Linked DNA regions of Oryza sativa Japonica Group. The protein of the gene in region 1 binds, or shares a complex with, the protein of each later gene. Links are inferred from orthologs where the notes say so. Each region holds a gene or a part of one and is shown in the gene's direction. Other genes may lie near its edges.

What was found. Proteins that work in one complex are often made in the same cells at the same time.
Region 2: the proteins of NADH dehydrogenase [ubiquinone] flavoprotein 1, mitochondrial (region 1) and NADH dehydrogenase [ubiquinone] flavoprotein 2, mitochondrial are in contact, whole or in part, in a cryo-EM structure (PDB 9F5X), measured with the Chlamydomonas reinhardtii proteins. The link is inferred for Oryza sativa Japonica Group from reciprocal best matches to the Arabidopsis thaliana genes CI51 and AT4G02580. Residues at the interface, in XP_001702590.1 of Chlamydomonas reinhardtii: Asp58, Glu59, Arg61, Phe63, Gln64, Asn65, Ile66, Tyr67, Arg69, His70, Met78, Ser79, Arg80, Gly81, Tyr84, Met85, Glu88, Ile89, Lys92, Trp96, Gln100, Tyr133, Glu142, Pro143, Gly144, Thr145, Cys146, Arg149, Glu150, Arg153; in XP_001698508.1 of Chlamydomonas reinhardtii: Thr42, Arg79, Tyr80, Pro81, Tyr84, Gln86, Ser87, Ile89, Ile90, Pro91, Asp94, Val95, Glu125, Val126, Phe129, Tyr130, Thr131, Met132, Phe133, Gly147, Thr148, Thr149, Pro150, Arg152, Leu153, Gln154, Glu184, Met185, Glu186, Cys187.
Region 3: the proteins of NADH dehydrogenase [ubiquinone] flavoprotein 1, mitochondrial (region 1) and NADH dehydrogenase [ubiquinone] iron-sulfur protein 4, mitochondrial are in contact, whole or in part, in a cryo-EM structure (PDB 8BED), measured with the Arabidopsis thaliana proteins. The link is inferred for Oryza sativa Japonica Group from reciprocal best matches to the Arabidopsis thaliana genes CI51 and FRO1. Residues at the interface, in NP_196470.1 of Arabidopsis thaliana: Gly131, Arg132, Pro133, Glu237, Arg247, Leu248, Pro250, Pro251, Tyr259, Gly260, Cys261; in NP_201560.1 of Arabidopsis thaliana: Tyr140, Ser141, Phe144, Trp146.

What each region holds. Positions count from the first base shown.
Region 1 is NC_089041.1:27,139,130-27,143,405, forward strand, and holds the start of NADH dehydrogenase [ubiquinone] flavoprotein 1, mitochondrial, read left to right. Parts: upstream 1-1,468; 5' UTR 1,469-1,580; coding exon 1,581-1,634; intron 1,635-3,243; coding exon 3,244-4,276. Other genes in the region: protein DMP2, read left to right, coding at 1-141. UniProt on the Arabidopsis thaliana protein: Core subunit of the mitochondrial membrane respiratory chain NADH dehydrogenase (Complex I) that is believed to belong to the minimal assembly required for catalysis. Complex I functions in the transfer of electrons from NADH to the respiratory chain.
Region 2 is NC_089039.1:25,329,357-25,333,596, forward strand, and holds the start of NADH dehydrogenase [ubiquinone] flavoprotein 2, mitochondrial, read left to right. Parts: upstream 1-1,438; 5' UTR 1,439-1,489; coding exon 1,490-1,591; intron 1,592-1,699; coding exon 1,700-1,756; intron 1,757-1,870; coding exon 1,871-1,936; intron 1,937-2,332; coding exon 2,333-2,449; intron 2,450-2,972; coding exon 2,973-3,050; intron 3,051-3,126; coding exon 3,127-3,232; intron 3,233-3,365; coding exon 3,366-3,412; intron 3,413-3,601; coding exon 3,602-3,679; intron 3,680-4,113; coding exon 4,114-4,179; intron 4,180-4,240. UniProt on the Arabidopsis thaliana protein: Core subunit of the mitochondrial membrane respiratory chain NADH dehydrogenase (Complex I) that is believed to belong to the minimal assembly required for catalysis. Complex I functions in the transfer of electrons from NADH to the respiratory chain.
Region 3 is NC_089041.1:24,023,866-24,027,978, reverse strand, and holds the start of NADH dehydrogenase [ubiquinone] iron-sulfur protein 4, mitochondrial, read left to right. Parts: upstream 1-1,311; 5' UTR 1,312-1,388; coding exon 1,389-1,559; intron 1,560-2,834; coding exon 2,835-2,923; intron 2,924-3,376; coding exon 3,377-3,506; intron 3,507-4,113.

The sequences.
Region 1 (4,276 bases):
CAGCAGAAGAAGGTGGTCATGGCGCTCCCCGTCGTCGTCGGCGCGCTCGCCAGCGTCGTCTTCGTCGTGTTCCCGTCCACCCGCCACGGGATCGGCTACCCGCCGGCGAAGCCCGCCACGGCGTCGCTGGCGTCGCTGTAGGCGGCGAGCCCGATTAGTCGATTTGCATTGCCATGCAGGCATGTGCTTCCTTTTTATGGGTTGTGTTTTTTTAAATATTTGCACGTGTGCATATGTGTTCTGTCTGATGCTTTTGTTCGCATTTGTTCATCTGTCTGTTTGTGACCTAATAAGGCCAAGAGCTAGTTTGATCTCGTTGATTTGCCTCATCTTTGTGCAGTTTATGACTTGTTATATTCCATCGCAATGGATGAATCCGTGGGGAACTATATGATAAACTTGGCAAACATTTATGAGTTTTTCATCTGAATTGAATGTCCGCACGATTATATTAGCGAAAATGTTCAGTAAGAACTCTATGAATGCTGTAGTTAGCATTCGTGCTTAGAGCATGAAAAATGGTAGTTCGATCTTGTTGATTTGCCTCATATTGCGCAGTTCATGACTTATAGGGATGGTTTGGTTTGGGGGTCTAAATTAGCCTTACCAATATTTGACAATTTTAATAGCGTTTAGTGTCTATTTGGTTTGGAGTCAAATTTTGGCATGCCTAAGAAAATAAGTCATTTAAATAGTTAATTTAGGCTATTTTGACTTCAATCCAAACACAACTTTGCCTTACCAAAATTATGCATGCCAAAATTTGCTAAAATTTAGCATTGACAAAAATTGGTAAGGCTAATTTAGGCCACAAAACAAACCAGCCTATATTGATGTGGAAATCTTTAATTGAAATGGATGAATCTGTGGGAAAGCAGATGATAAATTTGGCAAACATATATAAATTCATCTGAATATTGCAAGGTAGTTAGCATGCATGCTTACTAGAGCATGACAAAATGGTAGCACCAAGAATAAAATTATTTGCAACGAGGTCCGTCCTCGCCGCCGGCGGCCGGTGAGCTCGAACACGCGGTGGCCCCGGAGCTCCGGCAGTTTTGTCTGCTCCGACGAGACGATCTGGCCGGTGGAGACGTTCGGGACGCCGTGGCGCCTGTGGCCGACCAACGCCGGGGTTGGAAACCGGACGTAGCCGGTGAGGCGGTGACGTCACCCGTTGAGGCCCAACTAATAATATGGGCCGGAAGTTCGCCACAGCACCGTCCCGGCCCAACTAGCATTACGGGCCTCATATGGGCCAATACCAAACTACGGCAGGCCGCACCGTCACGGCCCAACTAATAATACGGGCTGGAAGTTCCCCACAACGGCCCAACTAGTATTATGGGCCAAGCTCCGCTCCGGCCCAATAGCTAGCACTCCAGGTCGGAGGGAGCAGCGCGTCCGTGTGTTGGCCTCACGCTCGCTGCCTCTCCTCTTGGCCCGGAGCTCACCCACGCACGCAGCCGTCTCGTCTCCCTTCTTCTCTCTCCTCTCCTCTCTTCTCCGGCACACCACACCCCAATCCTCCCCCGATCTCCCCAATCCGAGAGCTCCGGAGGAGCAGCGCGGAGGCGGAGATGGCGCTGCGGCGAGCGCTGCTCAGATCTGCCGAGATCTCCCCCGATCGCAAGGTCCGAATCCCCGCCCTTCTCCACTCTCCTCCTTCCCCCCCATCTCTCTCCGGTCTGGATCCCCCAACCACGAGGGGCGCGAACGCTGTTACCGCCTTTGCGAGAATCTGAGAGGAGTGCGCGTAGCGGGTTTGAGCTGTGGGAGGGTGGAGGAGGGTTTGCACCAGTCGATGTGTGTTGGTGGTGCGCGCATGGCGACGAATCTCTTCTTCTTCCGGGAGTAGAGGATAGGTCGAGGGGAGAGGAGTAACCGATGTAGAGCATGGAATGCCGATGGACAGTTAGGAGGGGCTCCATGTCCGTCTCTTTTGCATTTCGTATTAGTTCTGTAGGGATTTCTGGCTGTAAAGTGTTTACGACTTGATGCTTAGGATCGAGTTTCAGTTTGTTGCGGATGTGGTTTCTTGTTATGTCGTGGATACTCGGAGCATGCCGTAAATTGCTTGGATAGGCCATTCAAAATCTCATTTGTGAAAACCGAAAATGACCATGCAGTTGCAGACTAGTTACTACCTCTTTGTATTCGGTATTGCTGATGAAAACATGTGCTACACTCCTTTGCTTGATTGAAATAGAGAACAATAATTCAAAAGCTCGTTTTTGAACTGAAGATGACCATTCAGTTACAGGCTTGTTGCTACCTCTTTGTATTCAATATTGCTGATGAAAACATGTGCTGCACTCCTTTACTTGATTGAAACGCGAAACGATCTTTACTCTTTCTACTATATTAGTGTTTCCCTGATGCCCCGAGCGGAATACCAGTATTGTGGTTATCTTATTTCAATAGATTAAACAAACATGGTGCATTTATGAATATGCTACATTCTGTAGGGATATAAATGTGTTTGATATTGGTATTTCGTGGCTTCTCCTTTGGGTACAACTAAGAACACAACAAATGATACTTCACCTCAAAGTGATACTATCTTTTATGCCTTTCGTAGGCTTACTTAGTTTTTACTTTGCATATAAAACCACTACTACAAATAGGAAAATCGTATTGCAGATACTGAAAACCTGTCCTTTATCAGGACAGGTATGCTCTATGCTGCAATGAGATTATCAAAAACACCAACTTGCTGCCAACTGAGCATTTGATCTTTTCTCTTGTTACTTAGATACTTCTAAAATAATGCTCCAACATTGTAGGCACCTGCTGGGCTTATATATAATTCATGTTTCACTTATGGGCTGATATATTTGAACTTGATGTATTTATTTTGGTTTCTAAATCTGCAAAATTGTTCCCATTCTATTCGTTGATTTACCATTTACCTGCAGCAGCAAGTTTGAGTTGAAAGTAGAGATCCTTGTCACCATGTTCTAATTACTCTATTCTAGTTCACTTAACTAGTTAAAAACTGAAGGCAAGAGCATCAGAATTCTGTATTTCTGATCATTTCTTGATGTTCATGTTGTTCTTAATTTTGCTTCTTTCAACACTTGCTTGGATACTTAGTCAGCTTTCAAATGAAGATTACTTTAGTCTTTTGCTTTTGACAAGTATTGGCGTATTGTAGTAAAGTAACTACAAACTTTTTTTTGTCCTGAATCACATCTCATGGATCAAGCTGTGATAACAAATTGGTTTTTTTTTTCTTGTCAGGCTGCACTTGAGTACCTCCATTATCTATCGAGAGCACAGCCTACTCGTTCTCTAACAGGTGCTGGCCTTTATTCTGCTGGCAAATCATTCAGCACTCAGGCTGCTACTACATCAAGCACACCACAACCTCCACCACCACCTCCACCTCCGGAGAAGACTCACTTTGGTGACCTCAAAGATGAGGACCGCATTTTTACCAACCTCTATGGTCAGCATGACCCTTTCCTGAAAGGTGCAATGAAGAGGGGTGACTGGCATAGAACCAAGGATTTGGTGCTTAAAGGGGCAGACTGGATAGTGAATGAAATGAAGAAATCGGGACTTCGAGGGCGTGGAGGTGCAGGATTCCCTTCTGGGCTTAAATGGTCCTTCATGCCAAAGGTATCTGATGGACGCCCTTCTTATCTTGTTGTTAATGCTGATGAGAGTGAGCCAGGAACTTGCAAGGACAGAGAAATCATGCGTCATGACCCCCACAAGCTTCTGGAAGGCTGTTTGATTGCTGGAGTTGGGATGAGGGCATCGGCTGCTTACATCTACATTAGAGGTGAATATGTGAATGAGCGTCTCAACCTTTTGAAAGCTCGGGAGGAAGCATACGCAGCAGGTCTTCTTGGTAAGAATGCTTGTGGATCTGGTTATGACTTTGATGTGCATATACATTTTGGTGCTGGTGCCTACATTTGTGGTGAAGAGACTGCCCTACTGGAAAGTCTCGAAGGCAAGCAAGGTAAACCAAGGTTGAAGCCTCCTTTCCCTGCCAATGCTGGCCTATATGGCTGCCCCACAACTGTCACAAATGTTGAAACAGTGGCTGTGTCTCCAACAATTCTCAGGCGTGGTCCAGAATGGTTTGCAAGCTTTGGACGCAAGAATAACTCGGGAACTAAACTATTCTGTGTCTCAGGTCATGTGAACAAACCTTGCACTGTCGAGGAGGAAATGAGCATACCTCTTAAGGAATTGATTGAAAAGCACTGTGGAGGTGTGAGAGGAGGATGGGACAACCTGCTTGCAATTATTCCTGGTGGTT
Region 2 (4,240 bases), on another chromosome or scaffold:
TCATAGCCTTCGTCGAAGTCGTCGAGGTTGCGGTAGTCGTAGCGGTAGCCGAAGTCGTCGTACTCTACGATCTCCGTTGGTCGTGAGTCGACACCGGGGGAGCTGAGGTAGCCGTCCAACTGTTTCGTCGAAACCGTGCCGAGAGGCTGGAGTATGACACCGACTTCCCTAGAGCTAGACTGGATCGGGGCCAGGGCGGATCCCGCCTAGACCTACGGGGAGATGACGCTCTTGTGGTGAAAACGACAGCCAAATCGTTGAGGAGTTTCATCAGGATTGGCGGATAGGCTCTATTGTCTTCATCGGGTCGTGTTGGAGTAGATTGGATCTCGTCCGAGTGGTTTGGGGCCAACTCGGTTGAGATGATCTTGGGGTAGATCTCGGCCAAGTTTGGGGTACGAACGGGGCGGAAACCTGGTCTCTTCCCGACTGGTTCGAATCCGAGTCAAGAAGAGAAATCTTGCCGAAGTCGTTGGTGAAGAAGTTGAGGCTGCCGAACCGGAACGCCTGCCCGGGAGGGAAGACGAAGTCGTCGATGCCGGAGACGAAACCCATCGCACTAATCGGCGAAGAACTTGACGCTACCCCTATCTGGCGCGCCAATTGTCGAAACAAGATTTTGGCAATACTAAAAGGGGGTGGCTATCAAGCTGGAAAAGTGGATGGGTTGAGAAACAAAGAATTTTATACTGGTTCAGGCCTTCTTAACAAGAAGTAATACCCTACTCCTGTCCGGGGATTGATTTGCCGAGTGTATTATTGATCGTATGATCTGGGAGCAGATCGTGCCCTAAGAGGCACCTGGACCCCTCCTTATATAGGGGAAGGGGTCCGTATTATAAAATACAGTCCATATCCCTAACGGAATAGGTAGTTACAGATAAGATTCAATCTTAACCGACTAAGATCCCGGGTATTTCCTTAACATACAAGTTTGGAATTTAACCCAAGTCCCTTTAAAGATATTCTATCTATACATGGCACCCCATACCCAGTCGGATTATAAATGCCGTGTTGGTATGGGGTATCCATAATCTCCACAAAATTGGAATAATGTGACGGAAAAGTTGAAAGTTTGTGTGTAGGAAAGTTTTGATGTGATGGAAAAGTTGAAAGTTTGGAACTAAACTCGGCCTATAATATATAGGACGATTCATTTTGCTTGAAGATTGGTGATCTACCGGTATATTTCCTCCGTACTAAAATAAACAATCCAGTATGAAGTATGATATATCAGAATCCTATTGTTACGAAATCCGGACAGTAGATCGTTATAATTGCCCAACCAAAAAAAAAAAGATCGTTATAATTGCCAGTACACGAAGGAATTATTACTATTGGGCCGATTGGGTCAATAAGCCCATGAGAGCCCACTGGGCCGGTGCTGCTGACGTCACGCCGAGCTACTTACCTCCGCGAGCGGCCACAACTCCGCTCCCCTCCCCCCTCTTCGCCTGAGTCGAGTCGCCTCCCCCACCGCCGGCCAACCATGCTGCCGCCGGCCGCCCGCCTCGCGGCCCGCCGCCTCCTAGGGCTCGCGACCTCCTCCGCCTCGGAATCGGCCGCGGCGCGACGCTTGTCCCGTTCTCCGGTCAGTGCCCCCCTCCCCCTCCTCCAAATGCCTCTGTATCTCCTCGCTGTTCGTCGGCGGAGCTTTGCCGTCCTGATCTCTCCCTCCGGGGGCAACGTCTCGTTGCAGATCTCCTACGCCGCCGCGGGCTGCTCCTCCAGGCTGTTCTCCACGGCGCTTAACTACGTACGTGAGGCGCCTCCCCCTTCCCTCGGATCCACCCCCTACCCTCTTCCCTGATCTGTCTGTTTTGTCTGAGGATGATAATGAGTCGGATTTGTGGGTTTGCTTGTTGTGCAGCACCTCGATTCGCCGGAAAACAACCCCGACATGCCGTGGGAGTTCACGGAGGCCAACATGAAGAAGGTGCTGTTGTTCGTCTCGTTCATTCATTTCCCTGTGATTTATGTTTTGGATTGGAACAGTGGCTGGTTTTGGAGTAGTTGTGGCAGAATTTGTTCAGTTTTGTTTTCGGATGTTCAGAAATGGCTGTTAGGGTACCATTTTATTCAGGACTATTAGATAATAATATAATCTTACGTTGGAACTGGTTGCTGGTTATTTGAGAAGGGGAAACGTTATCTGTCATGTAAAACCTTTAGAAATGTGCAAATCTGCAAATGTCCAAATGTAATAGAGACGTGGGGTATAGTGTTCTATTCCTTTGACATGGGATTTAGGTTTTGTGAATACGGTTTATATCAATTGTATCAGCTATTTTGGTTATCTGGCCTAAAATCTCTATTTCAATAACTAATTCAGGTTAATGAGATATTGTCTCACTATCCAAGCAACTACAAGCAGTCTGGTATTATTCCAATGCTTGATCTTGCCCAGCAGCAGCATGGTGGATGGGTGCCAGTTGCAGCAATGAATGCTGTAAGTCCCTTTTTTATGAGCTTTCGATGATCAACTGTTTTCCGCCTTTAATGTGCTATATCCTGTTTTCAATACTTCAATTTTCAGAAAGTGATGTACCTCAACATTTGTTAGTTGTTACAACCCACGTTAGCTATAGTTATATTGGACTTGCTTAGCAGACATTCATAAATCAAAACCTTATTGCACTGGCCTTGTTTCTGTTCACTTCTTCGTCCTACTGAAGATGGGTGACACTAGGAAATTAGGAGCCTTAATAGTAAGAGGCATTGGAGAATGGGGGTTGGCAATCACAAAAGAAAAAGTTCTTGTCAGCATATCAGTTGACATATTTATATAATTATAATTACAATTGAGTTAATCTCCTCAGGACTAGGACTATTACAATAACATTGCTACTGGGAGTGTTATAGCTTATGTTACATTTTAGATATTTTGTACATAGACCCAACCACCATTCCACCACCACTGTGCTCACAAAAAGCATTTCTGACAATACTATTTTCATGTCTTGGACTTTCAGATTGCTAAGATCGTTGAAGTTGCACCAATCAGAGTATATGAAGTTGCTACATTTTACACAATGTTTAACCGGACTAAGGTATCTTTGCATGACTTAGTATTTTGTACTTGTTAATCCCTCCACTAGCATCTTTTCACCCTATTTTGCCATGTAGGTGGGTAAATATCACCTTTTGGTGTGTGGAACCACACCTTGCATGATTCGTGGTTCACGTGAAATTGAAGAAGCCTTGTTAGAACATCTTGGAGTTAAACGGAATGGTTTGTATTATTCACATAACTTATCCTATCAACTAAGAATAACACTTCCTGATTTGTTACCACAAACGGTCTTCGAGCATGTGTTTCTCTTGCTATCTCTGTGATAGCATTAACATTTTTCTTTCATTTGCAGAGGTGACCAGTGATGGTTTATTTTCTGTTGGAGAAATGGAGTGCATGGTAACTTCGAGATCTATAATTTTCTGTCATTTTGGATGCTTGCAAATAGGTGTTCTAGTTGAGTTAAGTGTTTAACTATAGCCAATAGGAATGGTCTGTAGGATTTTGTCAGTGAATGATTCAGTACTCTAATGAAAAAACATAAGTACAAGGCAACTTTTTATTCAGCTTTCTGTTATATGTTCACAGGGCTGCTGTGTGAATGCTCCCATGATTGCTGTGGCCGATTATTCTAAAGGTTCAGAGGGTTACACATACAACTATTATGTAAGTATACACATTGATGCATCCGATTATCTATTGTTGATGACTTATGCTAGTACACGCGGTGGAAATTTTAGTAGAAACATCACAGCATTAGTAAGAATTAGCAGCTGGTGCCCACTCGTGTTAGTTCATGTTTATGCACAAAATGAAACATTGTCAACTGAAGAATATAAACTTGCATGTTATAGGATGCTGGGCCCCTGGGTTTCTATACTTCTTAGCAGGCGTCTTTGGAGAAATAATGCTAACATAGCTACATTTTTTTGCTAAACTTCCATGCTATAGCAGTACTGTGGCACTGAAAGCACTAATGCCAACAGAGTAACAAAAGACGAGTGGATAAAACTTAACAAAACCTGCCTGCCTTTTGCTGAGAGAGGAAGAAAAGACTTATTTGTGTACTGTAACTGAGCATTTCCATTTCCCCTTTTCAGGAGGACCTCACTCCTAAACGAGTTGTTGAGATCGTCGAGATGCTGAAAAGAGGAGAAACCCCTCCTGTAAGCTTTGCTCTTGAACGAAATAATTCTTTTGATATTTCTAGCGACAAGTTTTACTCAG
Region 3 (4,113 bases), about 3.1 Mb from region 1:
GACTTATTTGTGGATTTCTTTGGCATCGATATTGAAAATGATTTAGAGATGTAATCTTGCATTTTCATGTGATCTTTTTTTTTTCAGAACTTCATGTGATCATAGTCATACGTATTTGTCCTCCTACACAATGTTAATCACTTTTCATTCTTAGGCGAAATACAAAAGACTTACTCCCTCGTTTTCTAGATAGTTAACGTTTAAAACAAGTTTCGGCCAATTAGTATTAAGTTTATAAAATTTAATTAGTCTATATTATGGGCATAAAACATTGATACTACCAAGTCTTTTGTTTTTAAACTAAGCATTTCAAAGACTATTGATAGTTAAAGTTTCAAAAGTAAGATCCAAATAGGTAAAGTTAACTATAGGACACTCAAAATTTGTGTTTGTTGATAGAAATCATAAAAACGTGTCACGGCTGAAAGACACTCTTAAAAAACTGATAATTTGCTAAATGACACTTTCGGCTCAATTGAAAAGAAAAGTTCTTAAAAAAGACAAGGATGCCCCCACGGTCAAAAGATTTTGAACTGAGACTAGGGTGAAGATAAAATATCACGTATACTAGTGATGTACTTGGGGTGATGCTAAATTTGGAGTTGCATAATTTCTAAATTCGTACTTTAACGTTATGTTTGAAGCATGTGATTCTAGGGGCATTCTTGTCTTTCTCAAGAATTTATCTTTTTAATTGAGTCGATATTGTTCTCTAACAAATTACTAGTATTTTTAGATGTCTTTCATTTGTGAATGTTTTTTCGATGTCTATCAGCAAATTACACGAAATTTAGATGTTTTGTAGTAAAATTTGCCATCCAAATATTGTCCGGCCTAACCATCAAATATTCACGACCAAATGGTGTATTAAATTATCTGAATACACTTATTATGGGTGATTATGCTCTTGATGAACTTCATCACGGTGTAGTTGAAATAACGGAACTGAAAAATGAATTCTATAAATTATCAAAAGGGCCATCAAGAATTATTCCAGAGGCAGCCCAATATAACATTGCCGGCCCAGATAAGTCAGTGGTTCATCTGGACCAAAACCCAACGAGCTAGTCTAACCTCGGTATGGGCCTTCAACTCCAAGGCTGCAGATCACCCACTGGACCATAACTGGGCCCAGCACACAGAAACAAATCGAATTCGCACCAGTCTGGGCCGCAAGGCCCGGCCCATAAACCAATCGGATCCCACAACACTGGGCCGAGAAGATTGGCCCAACATGAGCTGCTTCCAACATATCCTCGGTCCAGCCGTCTCTTCTCCCAAGTTCTGAAGTGCTCTCTCTCTCTCTCTCTCGGTGTTTCCCCTTCGGCCTTCTCGTCCGCCCCTTCTCTCCTCCACCATCCGCCTCACCGGCGTACGGCTCCGACGAGATGGCCGCCCCGCTCCGGCGGAGCCTCCCCTCCCTGGGGCGCACGCTCCTCTCGCCGTCCCCCGCGCCCGCGCGGATGCTCTCCGCGGCGGCGTCCGACGCCCTCGTCGAGATCAAGCCAGGCGAGATCGGCATGGTCTCCGGCATCCCCGAGGAGCACCTCCGCCGCAAGGTGCGGTGCTTCGCTGACCTTACCTCTGATTTATGTAGTGGCGATAGATTGGCTAGCCCTCGCGGATCCGTGTGGGAATCGCTCGAGATGTCCAGGTTTGGTGGGTTGTTTTGGTCGTTACTCGTGTTTAGGGATAGAGGCATAGAGCCTGGAGGCGTCGGGTCGTGAACTCGTCGTACGGACTACAGTGCTATCGCTAGTAGACGTTCGAATCGTGGAGTGGATAGAAATGCGAATTTGGTGATGATGTTTTACGCTTGTGTGGTTTGAACTGCGTTTAGAACTTGGGAGGAATGTGCTGCTCTCCAGGTTGGGTTCTCCCACTTTAGATTATGTTAGTGGAGGGCTGGAGGCAACAGAGTTTGATCAAATTATCCTGATTTGGTTTATGTACTGTGAATGACTGAATGTATATAGGTGTATGTTCTTACCTTTCAAATTGTTTGTGATTAGAGTTGACAGTATTGGTGTTAGAGAACTGTACATACCAGAGTTTAGATGATGCTAGGATGCTTATTATTTATCCATTTTCTTGGTGTACATCAAACTTAAAAATACATTTGATAGAACTAACTGCATACAAAGAAAGATGAAATTGCTAGCAATGCTTAGCTATTGAATTTAGATAACTTGTTGGACTATGAACTAATGTCTGTTTCATACCATTTCATAGTTCTTGTAATTACCTCAAAATCCATGTAGAGGCCTACTTGTAGAGTGGTAGTTTCTTGTTCTGACTTCTGAGGAACAGAGCTTCCATGAAATAGTTTTCTCTACAACATAATCTCGTTAATACGAATATTGTTTGATGATCAATTCTTCTGTTGTTTCAAAGATCCGTCTTAACTTCAAAGAGCTTAGAAGCATCTTATGATATGGCCCAATGCTGATAGCACCACTTCAGTCACATTTTTCATGGTATTATCAACCTTATGTTTGTCTGCAGAGAGAGGATGCCTACACATCAATAGATCTTATGTTTTTGCAGATTTATTATACAGAGTGAGCCCTAGAAAATATTTTGATTGTGATCTATGTTCTTGTAGATCATTAGACTGTTAACAAGTGGTCTCCCCCACCTTTTAGTGTTTATACAGTAAACGGCCTTCTAAATGGCCTACGACAGGATTGTGTTATTCAGATAGGTTTAAATATTTATACTGTAAAGAAAATATGATTTTTGTTGCTGCCACTTTTGTTCTTTTAAGACTCACTGTATGCTTTTCAACTACCTAGCTGGGAAGACATGATCAACTTATCCTTGTGTATTTGCAGGTTGTAATATATTCACCCGCTAGGACTGCATCTCAGCAGGGTTCAGGCAAAGTCGGGAGGTGGAAAATCAACTTTGTGTCAACCCAAAAGTATGTTTCCAGTTTTGTTTTATTGGTTATTGTTGATTCATTTTCATGAATTATTTACCTCAAACCCTGTGTTGCTGTTTGGTGAACTGCCTCAATAATATATCAAATGAAAACAAATAGTCTCATATTAAAACTTGATTTACATTCATAACAGAAGAATTCATTGACGATTGAAGTCTGTTTCTTTTTTTCCTTTAACGTGAGATTACCCCCCCTTTTTTTTGTACAATGAAAGCCTTGCAACTGATGCATTTGACCTCTCATTGAGGTGGTCACCTTGGTTTGGTCAAACAGTGTGTACTTAGTCTATTTCATTTCTTTTATGTCTCATGCATTTACTTCATTTAGCTTTATGTATCACCTCCTTATTATATAGCATTCTAGCATACAATTAGATATTACTATTTCAGTTGCTGCCGCTTTTTCCCCTTCTAACATTTGTGTGAATAATAGGTGGGAGAACCCATTAATGGGATGGACATCTACTGGAGATCCATATGCTAATGTTGGTGAAGCAGGGCTTACGTTTGACAGTGCAGATTCAGCAAAGGCATTTGCTGAAAAGCATGGATGGGATTATGTGGTGAGTTCTTACTATCTGTCTATCCATTCCTGATACTTAACATCAGGTTTAAAAAATAAGGCTATACTTATTTCTGAAATATTAGGATATATTGGAGCAGGATTTAATTGCATATTCTCTCTTGAATGTATAGGATCATTTGATTCTTAATTCTTTACAATTTAGAGGTTAAAGTAAGGAATGTTCTTTTATAGTGTTCTGAATTCTGATGGTCAGGTTTCTGAAGGAAATTTGGTCCATTTATGGGTGCATGGTCTTTTATTTTCAGATTGCCTTGCATCCAATGTGCCATATGATTTAATGTTATTTGCCTTAAATCTTTGTCTTCAGAATCACTTGTCGATGTTTCAATTTTGAAAAATAAAATCTCTAAAAATCCTTCGTATAACTCAAGGAGTAAATCTGTTGTTCCCGATTTTTGTTGTACTTGTAATTTTAGTTAGGACACATGGAACTTTGATTTTATTTCTGTGGCAAACTAGAGCTTTTTCAAACAATTTGTAACTCGTATATTATTTGCGTATAAAATATGTTCTCGACAGTAGGAATGCTTTTGGGGGGCTATGGTGCAGTATTCATTGGCATACCACGAGCCTTTATATTTGTT